Linked DNA regions of Arabidopsis thaliana. The protein of the gene in region 1 interacts with the protein of each later gene in a biochemical or structural test. Each region holds a gene or a part of one and is shown in the gene's direction. Other genes may lie near its edges. The genes, in order: PSY and AT5G61670.

Region 1 (5,967 bases):
ATATGACCACTCTCATTTTCCACCTTCGATCAAGCAACAACACAGCTGAGAAAGTAGCCAAGCTAATTATCACTATCTCTAAACGCTTGTGATTCTAGATTGTACACGTTATAAGTACCAGGATCTATGGAATTAAGTTGAGTAAAAACAAAGAGTGATAGTCACTGACTCAAACAAAAACGTCTTGGTCAGTATATATAACTTACTAAAAAAACAATTAAACTTGTTATACCATTTGAAATTTACTACTCATCAATCATCATGTCTGTTAAATTTTCAGTATATTATAAAAACGCATTTCCATTAAATCAAAGTTAATTATGCCAATTTTCAGTATTCTATTGATAACTCGGGCTAATCCACATCGAAGCTCGACCAAGTCCCATGCATATGGTCTAGGTGATCCTCTAGAACTAGGGCGGTTGACATAAATTTCGTACGAAAACAATACTTTTATCATTCAGTACTAAACCAAAAAAAGCGGTTTCTTTACGAGAGAATGTATTTGAAACAAGATACGGAGAAAATACGGACCAGACTAAAAATAACAAAGGATAAAACCAAAATCAAGAAGAAACTTAAAAGACAAAACCTTCTGAGCGCAAGAGAGAGGGCCAAGTTGCGAAGACAGTATGGGACCCAAATACCGACTAAGCGGAAATCTAACTTTTAACTTTTCCTACCAATGAAACATTGACACGTGGAAAAGCAACGTCGCCCACTTTACCCTCCGCACTTTGAAATCTTTGATAAGCTTATCGCTCTCCCATTGGCCGTAGGCTCCACGTGGCATCTCTCTGATCTCTCTTCTGCTAATCCTTTTTTACCCAAACTGGCATGACCCCACCCCTAAACCCCTATTGTCCTTTCTACCAACAATTACTTAATGACTTATATAATATTCTAATTATATTTTAATTATGTAATTAAATAACTATTGATCCCATCTCCATAGTGACATGTCTCACTTTTTCTTCCACAACAAAATGCGTCACTCTTGATTCATCATGTTCGTAGCAAAATCCACGTTATTACAAAAAACGTTATACATTTTGAAAGGTAATCCATAAAATAGTGAGATGGATCAAGTTTTCTACGCAACCCTCGTAGAATTTTAGCAATGATCCAAAGCTACTGTATATATATAGTTACGTTTCGTAACACAACATGTATTTTACCATGATTATGCCTCTTTTTTTTTTCTTTCCACAACATATATGTATTTACATCCTTATTTGGTTTAGGCTGAGTTTGTTAACATAGCATCACCAATAGGGACAATTTTTTTTTTTATTACAATCTAAATATCTAAAATATAAATTCACATGAAATTAATGTTTCTAATAGAGTTCTTCAATCTTCATGTACAATTGCACATTTTTGTGAAATTATTATTACTTTATCATTTTTTCTTTAAAATTAATTCACCGAGTACCGATAAATGTTTATATTGAATACGATTTAGTAAACGACATATATGTTTCGTCACATTTTTATCACTATTTGTAATATATCTGTTAAATTTGATGATGTAGTTTCTGTTTTTGAATTGAAAACTTACAAAGTTTAGAAAAAAGAATGTAAATTAGAAATAAATACACTTTCTGTATTTTTGAATACTATAATAGGCTAAAATCACATCATTTTCTAATGTTGCTTTAAATAATATATATCAAATAAAGGCTTAAATTACATTTATATAAGAAATATTGTAATACAAATATCAATTTAGAGCTATTAATTTACAATTACAACCTGTTGCCCAATTGATGAATAAATCAAACATGTAATTAACCAAACTTTCTAATTGATCAGGAATCAATTTAGCTAAATAATAAGACATAAATTTGGCCAAGAAAAAGAAGAGAAAACATGTTAAATAGGTAATGGGTTTTAATATTGGGATAGTTACCTTTATTTGAAAACTATTAAGGTTTGATTTAAGACACGAGTCACTCGAGAGTCGCATCTCGCCAGTCAAAAACTAAATTAAAAAACTATATAGACCCAAAAAATAAAAATAACGACTTTTGTATTTATACTGGCAAGATTCTCATTAAAACCCAGCAAAAAAAAAAAAAAAAGACAAAGAAGGAAGAAAATTTGAGTGGGTGAGAATTTTTTACGATAGAGGAAGAGACAGCATCATCTACTTGTGTTGTCTGTGTACATATATTACAGTAAGCGTTGCAATATAACTTCTTGAGGATCTTCTCACATTAATGGGTCAAACCTTTTGCTCTTCCTTTTGATTAATTTAGTGTTTGACAATCTCCTCCTCCTTCTCCTTCTTCTTCAAAGTTTTGTCGCAGTATCTATTGTTCTTACAGAGAGAAAGGTAGGCTTTTGTGTCCATCACTCATTTTCGCTCGTTTGGTTAAGCTTCATCTGCCATGTGGTTCACTGTTTTGATACTTTTGGGCTCTTATACCTAATGTTGATGTAACACAACGATACATAATCTAATTTGTTTTCGAGTGGAAAATAGTTGAACCCAGTTGAGTATTTAGCCAATACGATTAGAGGATTTACTTGTTTTTTCTCTTTTCATGTTCTTCATTTGCTTTTGAAGATCTTCCTCTTTATGTTTGTGTCTCTTCGCTATTTTACTTGCTTGAAGAAATTGAGTTTCTCATCTCGCTTAAATTTGGCTTTATATACAGATTTAGAGATCTCGATTCCTAATCTACTTGTTTTTGTATTCAATTTGCAGGAAAGCTTTAGTCTTTTACCAGTTTGATCCAATTCTGGGTTTCACTGAAAAAAAGTTGGGAGTTTGATTCTTCTAACTGTAGAAGAAACAGAGTCAACAGAAGAAAACTAAAAAAGTTGAGATTTTTCTCTCACGCGCTCAAGAACTTGAGTATGTCTTCTTCTGTAGCAGTGTTATGGGTTGCTACTTCTTCTCTAAATCCAGACCCAATGAACAATTGTGGGTTGGTAAGGGTTCTAGAATCTTCTAGACTGTTCTCTCCTTGTCAGAATCAGAGACTAAACAAAGGTAAGAAGAAGCAGATACCAACTTGGAGTTCTTCTTTTGTAAGGAACCGAAGTAGAAGAATTGGTGTTGTGTCTTCAAGCTTAGTAGCAAGTCCTTCTGGAGAGATAGCTCTTTCATCTGAAGAGAAGGTTTACAATGTTGTGTTGAAACAAGCTGCTTTGGTGAACAAACAGCTAAGGTCTTCTTCTTATGACCTTGATGTGAAGAAACCACAAGATGTTGTTCTTCCTGGGAGTTTGAGTTTGTTGGGTGAAGCTTATGATCGATGCGGTGAAGTTTGCGCTGAATATGCTAAGACGTTTTATCTTGGTATGGATCTTTTTAACTCTTCTTTGGCTTTGGTGTAATGTAGAGTGGTGTTCTGAGTTCTAATGTTTGTGTTGCAGGAACTTTGCTTATGACACCCGAAAGGCGAAAGGCGATTTGGGCAATCTACGGTAAGTTACTGCACAAAACCAATGGTTGAAGAGCTGTTTTAGAATATTTGCATTGTCAACATTGATTATAATTGTAGGATAAAGTGATGCTCAAAGTAGATTTCTACAAACAATCTATTGTGGCTCTTGGTTAGTATCTAGTTAAGTTGTCTTAACAAGAGAAGTTGAAGCTGAAATAGATTCCTTGAATCTTACACTCATGTAGAAAGATAGGTCTCTAGTTAGTTTGTGTGGTTACCTTGTGTCTAAGATAAGTCCATGAACACCAAGCATCCAAATTTGCACCCTTTGAAGATAAAGAATAAAGACCCAAAAAGACTAGCTTAGTTACTAATATGGGTTTGTCCAAAAAAAAAAAAGTTACTAATATGGGTTTTTAATGGGCTTTTTTGGCCCAATGGTCTTAAACTCTGGAGATTTTACTCTAATGACCCCCTGTCTAGGACATACTAGTATCCAAAGCATATGGGGAATTTTAAAGTTGTTTTCTTATATGTTTGATTGGTTTGAATTTGATAGTTTTACTCTGTCTTTTGTGCAGTTTGGTGTAGAAGAACTGATGAACTTGTGGATGGGCCAAATGCTTCACATATAACTCCCATGGCTTTAGATAGATGGGAAGCAAGGTTAGAAGATCTTTTCCGTGGTCGTCCTTTCGATATGCTTGATGCTGCTCTCGCTGATACAGTTGCTAGATACCCGGTCGATATTCAGGTCAGCCTTGCTCTGTCTTATCTTACTTCCTCATTTCATTACATGAGTTAAGAGTTGCATTCAGTCCATTGCAATAAACCTTATAAAACTTTGGTCTAATGTTTATTTATGTTGCAGCCATTTCGAGACATGATCGAAGGAATGAGAATGGACTTGAAGAAATCGAGATACCAGAACTTCGATGATCTATACCTTTACTGCTACTACGTCGCTGGAACCGTCGGATTGATGAGCGTTCCGGTTATGGGAATCGATCCTAAGTCGAAAGCAACAACCGAAAGTGTTTACAACGCTGCCTTGGCCCTTGGTATAGCCAATCAGCTTACTAACATACTCAGAGACGTAGGCGAAGAGTGAGTCTTTTTATATATTTTAAATAGAGCTTTGGTTTCTTGATTTCACATATCTCACTTAAACCGGTTTCTTGATTTCACATGCTTCTTTTAAACCGGTTTCTTGATTCACATATCTCTCTTAAATTGGTTTTGTTCTCACTATCAGTGCGAGAAGAGGAAGGGTTTATCTGCCTCAGGATGAATTGGCTCAGGCTGGTCTTTCAGATGAAGACATATTCGCCGGAAAAGTAACTGATAAATGGAGAAACTTCATGAAAATGCAGCTTAAACGAGCAAGAATGTTCTTCGACGAAGCTGAGAAAGGCGTCACCGAGCTCAGTGCCGCTAGCAGATGGCCTGTAAGTGTCTCTAAAACACTCTTCAGCCGCAAGTTTACCGTTTACTTATTTCTTTTGGATCGATTTTAACCCCGAGGACTTGGCTGCAATGTTTCAGGTATGGGCTTCATTGCTATTGTACAGGAGAATACTGGACGAGATTGAAGCGAATGATTACAACAATTTTACTAAGAGAGCTTATGTGGGGAAAGTCAAGAAAATTGCAGCTTTGCCATTGGCTTATGCTAAATCAGTACTAAAGACTTCAAGTTCAAGACTATCGATATGAGAGCGAGAGGAAAGTGGAACAAAAACAACCTAAGAGCGCTTTTTGTGATTAAGAAAAAACTTAGGCTCGAATTTATTATGTTAACTAATATATACATATTAATGGGGAAGCAAATTCTTATAATGTTACATTATCTTTCTGAATGTAAAAAAGTATTTTTTTTTTTAATTTTATTTTAGTTATAGTTCTCTTGGCCTAATGAGGGGATATACAATTTTTGGTTGATGAAATAATCTTGTGATATACATACAGAAAGAAGTTCTTCTTATATTCGAATAATAGTACAAGTGAGTAACCTTGTATACTATGTAAAAACTCCACTTCTATTTTAACCCCATTTTATATCTCACTCAAAAATAGAGTAAAAACTTAAGAATAGAGAACTATGGTCTTAGCATTGACATGAATCTTAAAAGTATATTGAATTTATTACTGAAACGTACAAAACAACACAAACATAAAACAGAAACTATAAAGCTTATTTGGTTCTTCAGATCATCATAAATTGGAGCTAATTCAGTGACCAGCCAGCACCATAAGCTTCTTCCAAGACGGTCTATCCGAAATCTCTTCCCACCACCGGTTAAAACTACCCCGAGCCTTAACCATCTGGTTTATATCGGTTATACTCATCAAGTACCCCATCGCCGGCATGTGCGTCAAATCAGCCATAGTGAATTCTTCACCAGCCAAAAACCGGTTCGAAGAAAGCCGGTTATTGTATATGTCCAAGACCACTCCTAGCTTCACTTTGAGATCCTCGACCAAAACGACGTCACATTTCTCGCCTAACCTAGGCTTGATGATTAGGTTAATCACGAGGGGTTGGGCCAGAACGTTGAAGTAATAGGTC
Region 2 (5,327 bases), about 19 Mb from region 1:
GATTTACACTGTTTTCTTTGTGTGTTCCTGTAACGATTGAGATCTATAGTGCATACACGAATGTATGTTTTTGGCTCTAGGAAATATCTAAAGGATTTGTTTTTGGAATGATGGAAACTTTTCATATATTTTCAACGGTGAAGCGGTCCACACGCACAACTGCCTACGGTGGAGCAACTACCATATGTTATGTCTAATGTCTCTTTTACGATATGATCGAATATCCATATTACATAACCTATATTCGTTTATTACATACATCTAAAAGACTACCCCCAAAATTTTATCTGAAAGCTCCCAATCCACTATCGTCGAAGTTTTTTTTTAATTTTTTCTTCAAATTACAATTATTATTATTATTATTTTTTAAAGTACAATTATTAGTGTCCCTATTTGTTAGTATTCGTGTTTCTTAGACAACATTCCTCTGTTTAGTTTCAAAAATATCTAGATAATGGATTTACGTATATATGGATCAATTGTGATAGTGGACTTAAACAGGTAGGCACATTCCTCTTCATATCGGAGTATAATTTAAAATTTCGATTTGGTCGAGAGCCCAAGGGTTCTACTAGTAACAACATTCTGTGACGCTTAAGTAGTGCCACGTGCTGGACCCTCACTAGTGACTACTATTTCCACCCACTTCCTCTATTATTACACACTTAGCACAAAAATGCATCATTTGATTTTTATATAAAAGCATCATCACATGCATATGTGCTTTGACTATGTATCTCTACGCGTTTCTAACATTATATTGGTAACAAACTACAGATACGTCATATAATTATATCTCTTATGACTATTGTATTCTTAGGAATTAATGCGTGACAGAGATATTTAACAAAATTTGTTCAAGAACACGCTCCATCAAAAAAAAAAAACGCTCCATCGGCTAGATCCTAATTTGGAATGGAGGGAACAGATACTTTGTTCAAACAAAAGGTTTCTTTGTTTGGTAACAGGAAGAGATCACTCAAGCCAATTAACGTCAAATCAAAGATCGGAAGAGGGAGTTGCGGATCCTCCTCATTGTAATCTCCAAATTTTAGAATCCAAAAGATTATGAGAAGAAAATCGGAAAAAAATATTCGAAAATATTTGAAGTTTGGAAGAGGAGAAATCGCTCAGTTCAGCGGGATTATCGACACACGCAAGACTTTCCACTAGGAAAAATCCTACATTACGGTCTGTTGAGCTTGAATATTTCCAAGTCATCACCACGATTTCTCTTTCCGAATTAACAAAAAATCATAATAGAAGAAGAAGAACTAGGAAAAGGCGATTGCTAATTAACCCAGGAATTGGATTGATGATGAAGATTAATTGAAATTAATATTTATAGGTTAATTGCCTAGGGTTTCTCCATAACCCTTGTTTGATTAGGGCTTAATTGGGCCGAAATATTTAAGTAGGCCTTACTAGTTAGAAAAATGTTTATAAAACCCACCAAACATTTAGTTTAATTTGATTCGGCCCATTTGTATTTCAAAACTCATGGCCTATGTATTCGTTTTTTAGACGTAAAAAATTCATCAAAACTGTCACATTTTTAAGGCTAATTTGGTAATAGGATCCAGAATTGGATTATTAATCTTAATTGGGAGATTAGTAGGTCGTATTATCCCCTAAACTAAACTCAAAGCCTTGCTAAGTTTGACTATTGTATATAACACACAAATATGAATGTTACAATTTTATTTTCAAAGAACACATAATTTTAAATTAGTGGAAAGTATATCTTATTAGCACTCACAACAACAACAACAACAACAAAAAAATCAATTATTCATCAATTATCCATTTAAAAAAATTCCAAGTCAGCAACAAAAGAATTCTGCCACCACAAGTTTTCTCAAAACAAACCTAAACAACAAGACAAGTGTGAAATTAAAAAATAATAAGCACCAATACGAACTCGCCACGTACATACAGTTGAGCAGAGTTGCTCTCTTTCGGTCTCGATTTCTCAATTCTCACTATACAATACCGACCATTTAAGAGCAGGCAAAACTAATCTGTATGATCGATCTTGTGCTGAAGATATCGAAAAGATGTCATCTTTGGGTAGGATTTTGTCTGTTTCCTACCCACCGGATCCGTACACTTGGCGGTTTTCACAGTATAAGCTGTCTTCTTCACTAGGGCGAAATCGGAGACTCAGATGGCGATTCACGGCGTTGGATCCTGAATCTTCCTCACTCGACTCTGAATCCTCCGCCGATAAATTCGCTTCCGGGTATTCTGAATTTGCTTTAAACTACAGAGCTTGATTGTTTGCGTATTCATTGATAATGAAAGGAAGAATCAATTTTTTTTGTTGGATTGCTCAAGGTTTTGTATAATAGAAGGGCCTGAAACAGTACAGGACTTTGCCAAAATGCAATTACAAGAGATTCAAGATAACATTCGAAGCCGACGAAACAAGATCTTCTTGCACATGGAAGAGGTACTTACTTACTAGTACACAATTGTTTCTTAAAGTAGAAACCTTTCTTATACTGTTCCTTTTTTTTTGTGGTAGGTGCGGAGGCTAAGAATACAACAACGGATTAAAAACACAGAACTTGGTATCATTAACGAAGAACAAGAACATGAATTACCTAATTTCCCATCTTTTATCCCATTCTTACCTCCATTGGTGAGTTTATTACAAGATTTGTGATTCTTTTCACCCTCCCTTGCATGATTGAATTGATTATAAAAATACATTTCGATATTCAGACTGCTGCCAATTTGAAAGTCTATTACGCAACTTGTTTCTCACTCATCGCGGGGATTATCCTATTCGGTGGTCTACTAGCTCCTACTGTAAGTGCTTTTGCTACGCCTTGTTTTTTCAAGATTGGCTTTGTTTGTTCCCTCTAATATAGTTTTCAACGTGTACTCTTTGCCAGCTAGAGCTGAAGTTAGGTATAGGAGGTACATCGTATGCAGATTTCATTCAAAGCCTTCATCTACCTATGCAATTGAGGTTTTAATACTTGTTTCTTTGAGTTTTCTTTCAAACTACTGTCAAGTTTTTTCGCATCTTCATTGCGTTTTTCGTATAATATTTCTTGAAAAGATGCTTAATCTGTGTGTTCATTTGAATAACAGTCAAGTGGACCCGATAGTAGCGTCGTTTTCTGGAGGAGCGGTTGGTGTGATTTCGGCTTTGATGGTAGTAGAAGTTAACAACGTAAAGCAGCAAGAGCACAAGAGATGCAAATACTGTCTAGGAACTGGTATTGTGGCTTACTTTTTCTCCTTTTTCCTTTCAAACATGGTTTTTAAAAAATGAGTCTGGTGGTTCTACAATATGTATTCACATATATTCTTATATAACACAGGGTATCTAGCATGTGCTCGTTGCTCTAGCACAGGTGCTCTTGTTTTAACTGAACCAGTCTCAGCTATTGCTGGTGGGAATCATTCTCTATCACCGCCCAAAACCGAAAGATGTTCAAACTGTTCAGGTGCCGGAAAGGTAAAACACACAAAAACCAAAACATATAAAACACAAAACCTAAAGGTGTGGATACTAAGTTGTATGTGTTTGATGCTCAGGTGATGTGCCCGACATGTCTGTGCACAGGAATGGCTATGGCCAGTGAGCATGATCCTCGTATCGACCCTTTCGATTGAATTTTGCAACACATTCTACTTCCTTAGAATCTCATTCTGTCAGTGTAACTAAAAATGGTATGTACTGATTAAATAATTAGAACCGCATACTTTGATCTGTATATACACACAATTAAAGTTATAATACAATGTTAGACATGTCTTCTCTAAACAACCAACAACTCGAAACCGGCATGTTGTGTACGTCTTGTGAGTTGTGACAGAAAAACGGCATGTAATGTTTGATTTCTCCACTAAGCAAAAAAGCTTTTTTCATGTTAACATATTGTTTTCCTTCATGTTACATTATGTTTTTGTTTCTGAGCTCTAAAACGTTTTCAGTTCCAATGAGAAGAAAAAAGGATGGAATAAGGTGTGTGTGTGTGGCTCAAGGTTCCCAGCCACTCAAGAGAGTGGCGCGAGTGGCTCATTTAACACCATGAGTGAAAGCTCCCATACGGAGGGTGCAGGAATGAGAATGGTGAAACTTGATGTTGTGAAAGGCACGAGCCATGTACTTACTGAAGCTGCGTTTTGCGTATATGTTTGGAAGAATCACCAGTACTTTCTTCACCAGAATCTGCACGTAGACCCTAGAACAAGGGAACTTTAGAAACCAAACTCTTTGGGTAACATAGCTTCAGTGGCGCAAACGAAGGATCAATTCATGCAGAATTAGTGTATGTCAAGAACTCTGTTTCTTCAGACCAATGAATGAGCTTACATGCTCTGTTTCTTGAGAGCTAGGGAATATAAGAAACCTTAAGATTCATAAACTTCAATCTCTTCAACATTATACCACGGCGACATCCCTGAGTTCGTATCTCAACTTACTGATCACGAAATCACCAAGCTTTAGCACAAGATTGATGAATGAATTGGGAAACAGAGCATTTTTGACACTTTTAAAAAACAAAAAAAAGTTTGCTATTTCAGATTTTAATGTGAGAATTGGAGCATTTTTTGAAAATTTGGTATAAGCCTTTTTAAATATTTTCCTTCTTTTTTCTTGAAGATCAAAGCTAAGTAGAGATTTGCTAACACATTTGTAAACCAGGTACTCTTATTTCTTGTAAAAGCAAAACACTAAACAAGCCTCAGCTTCTCCAATAATTACAATATCAGAAAAACAAAAAAAATGTAATAGTACAACAAGTTACATGTTTTTGTGTTTTTTTTTCTTCTTCCAAATATAGTAATTTAAAACGGAGTGGTTGATTAATTTGGTAGTTACATTAGAAAGAAGGAGGAGGCAGGAGCCAGCTAGATCCTTGGATGTAGCCAAGCGAGATGAAGTACTTAGCTTCTATGTCATCAATGTCTTGTGTATACTTTACTCTCTTCTCCTTGTGCGATCCTGTTCCTGTGCACTTATATTCTCCATAGAACACCGTCCTGCTCATCAATCAGTGCATTTTACATTAAAACTTATGTCACATAGTTTTTGATTGATATACTATGGTTTGGACTTTGGACTATACATACTTGTCACGTCCGGCCTCGCGGTTTTCTTGCCATCCAGATGGGTTCACAACACTTGACATATCCGTGTATGCATAAACAACCTTGGGGTGGCTCATCCATGATCGACCCAAGTAGATCCCGGTTCCAGTCCCTGTAACCTTGCAGTGGACGAACGAGTATCCGCTTTTCTCTGCAGCGCTTTTTCCCGCATGAGCTGTGATCACTCTGATTCCATCTCCCACAACGTTTAGTTG

Evidence for each region.
Region 2: the proteins of PSY (region 1) and AT5G61670 form a complex in vitro, tested with the Arabidopsis thaliana proteins (one study listed by BioGRID).

Annotation. Positions count from the first base shown.
Region 1 is NC_003076.8:5,658,986-5,664,952, reverse strand, and holds PSY (PHYTOENE SYNTHASE), read left to right. Parts: upstream 1-2,087; 5' UTR 2,088-2,497; exon of another isoform or gene 2,498-2,713; 5' UTR 2,714-2,865; coding exon 2,866-3,310; intron 3,311-3,387; coding exon 3,388-3,438; intron 3,439-3,522; coding exon 3,523-3,567; intron 3,568-3,979; coding exon 3,980-4,152; intron 4,153-4,269; coding exon 4,270-4,505; intron 4,506-4,653; coding exon 4,654-4,846; intron 4,847-4,943; coding exon 4,944-5,114; 3' UTR 5,115-5,340; downstream 5,341-5,967. Other genes in the region: GSTF12 (glutathione S-transferase phi 12), read right to left, coding at 5,631-5,967. UniProt on the Arabidopsis thaliana protein: Catalyzes the reaction from prephytoene diphosphate to phytoene.
Region 2 is NC_003076.8:24,781,572-24,786,898, forward strand, and holds AT5G61670 (orange protein), read left to right. Parts: upstream 1-1,857; 5' UTR 1,858-2,057; coding exon 2,058-2,242; intron 2,243-2,337; coding exon 2,338-2,452; intron 2,453-2,527; coding exon 2,528-2,644; intron 2,645-2,727; coding exon 2,728-2,814; intron 2,815-2,900; coding exon 2,901-2,977; intron 2,978-3,102; coding exon 3,103-3,230; intron 3,231-3,335; coding exon 3,336-3,472; intron 3,473-3,552; coding exon 3,553-3,630; 3' UTR 3,631-4,694; downstream 4,695-5,327. Other genes in the region: AT5G61680 (Pectin lyase-like superfamily protein), read right to left, coding at 4,845-5,004, 5,095-5,327. UniProt on the Arabidopsis thaliana protein: Involved in chromoplast differentiation. Associated with a cellular process that triggers the differentiation of pro-plastids or other non-colored plastids into chromoplasts for carotenoid accumulation.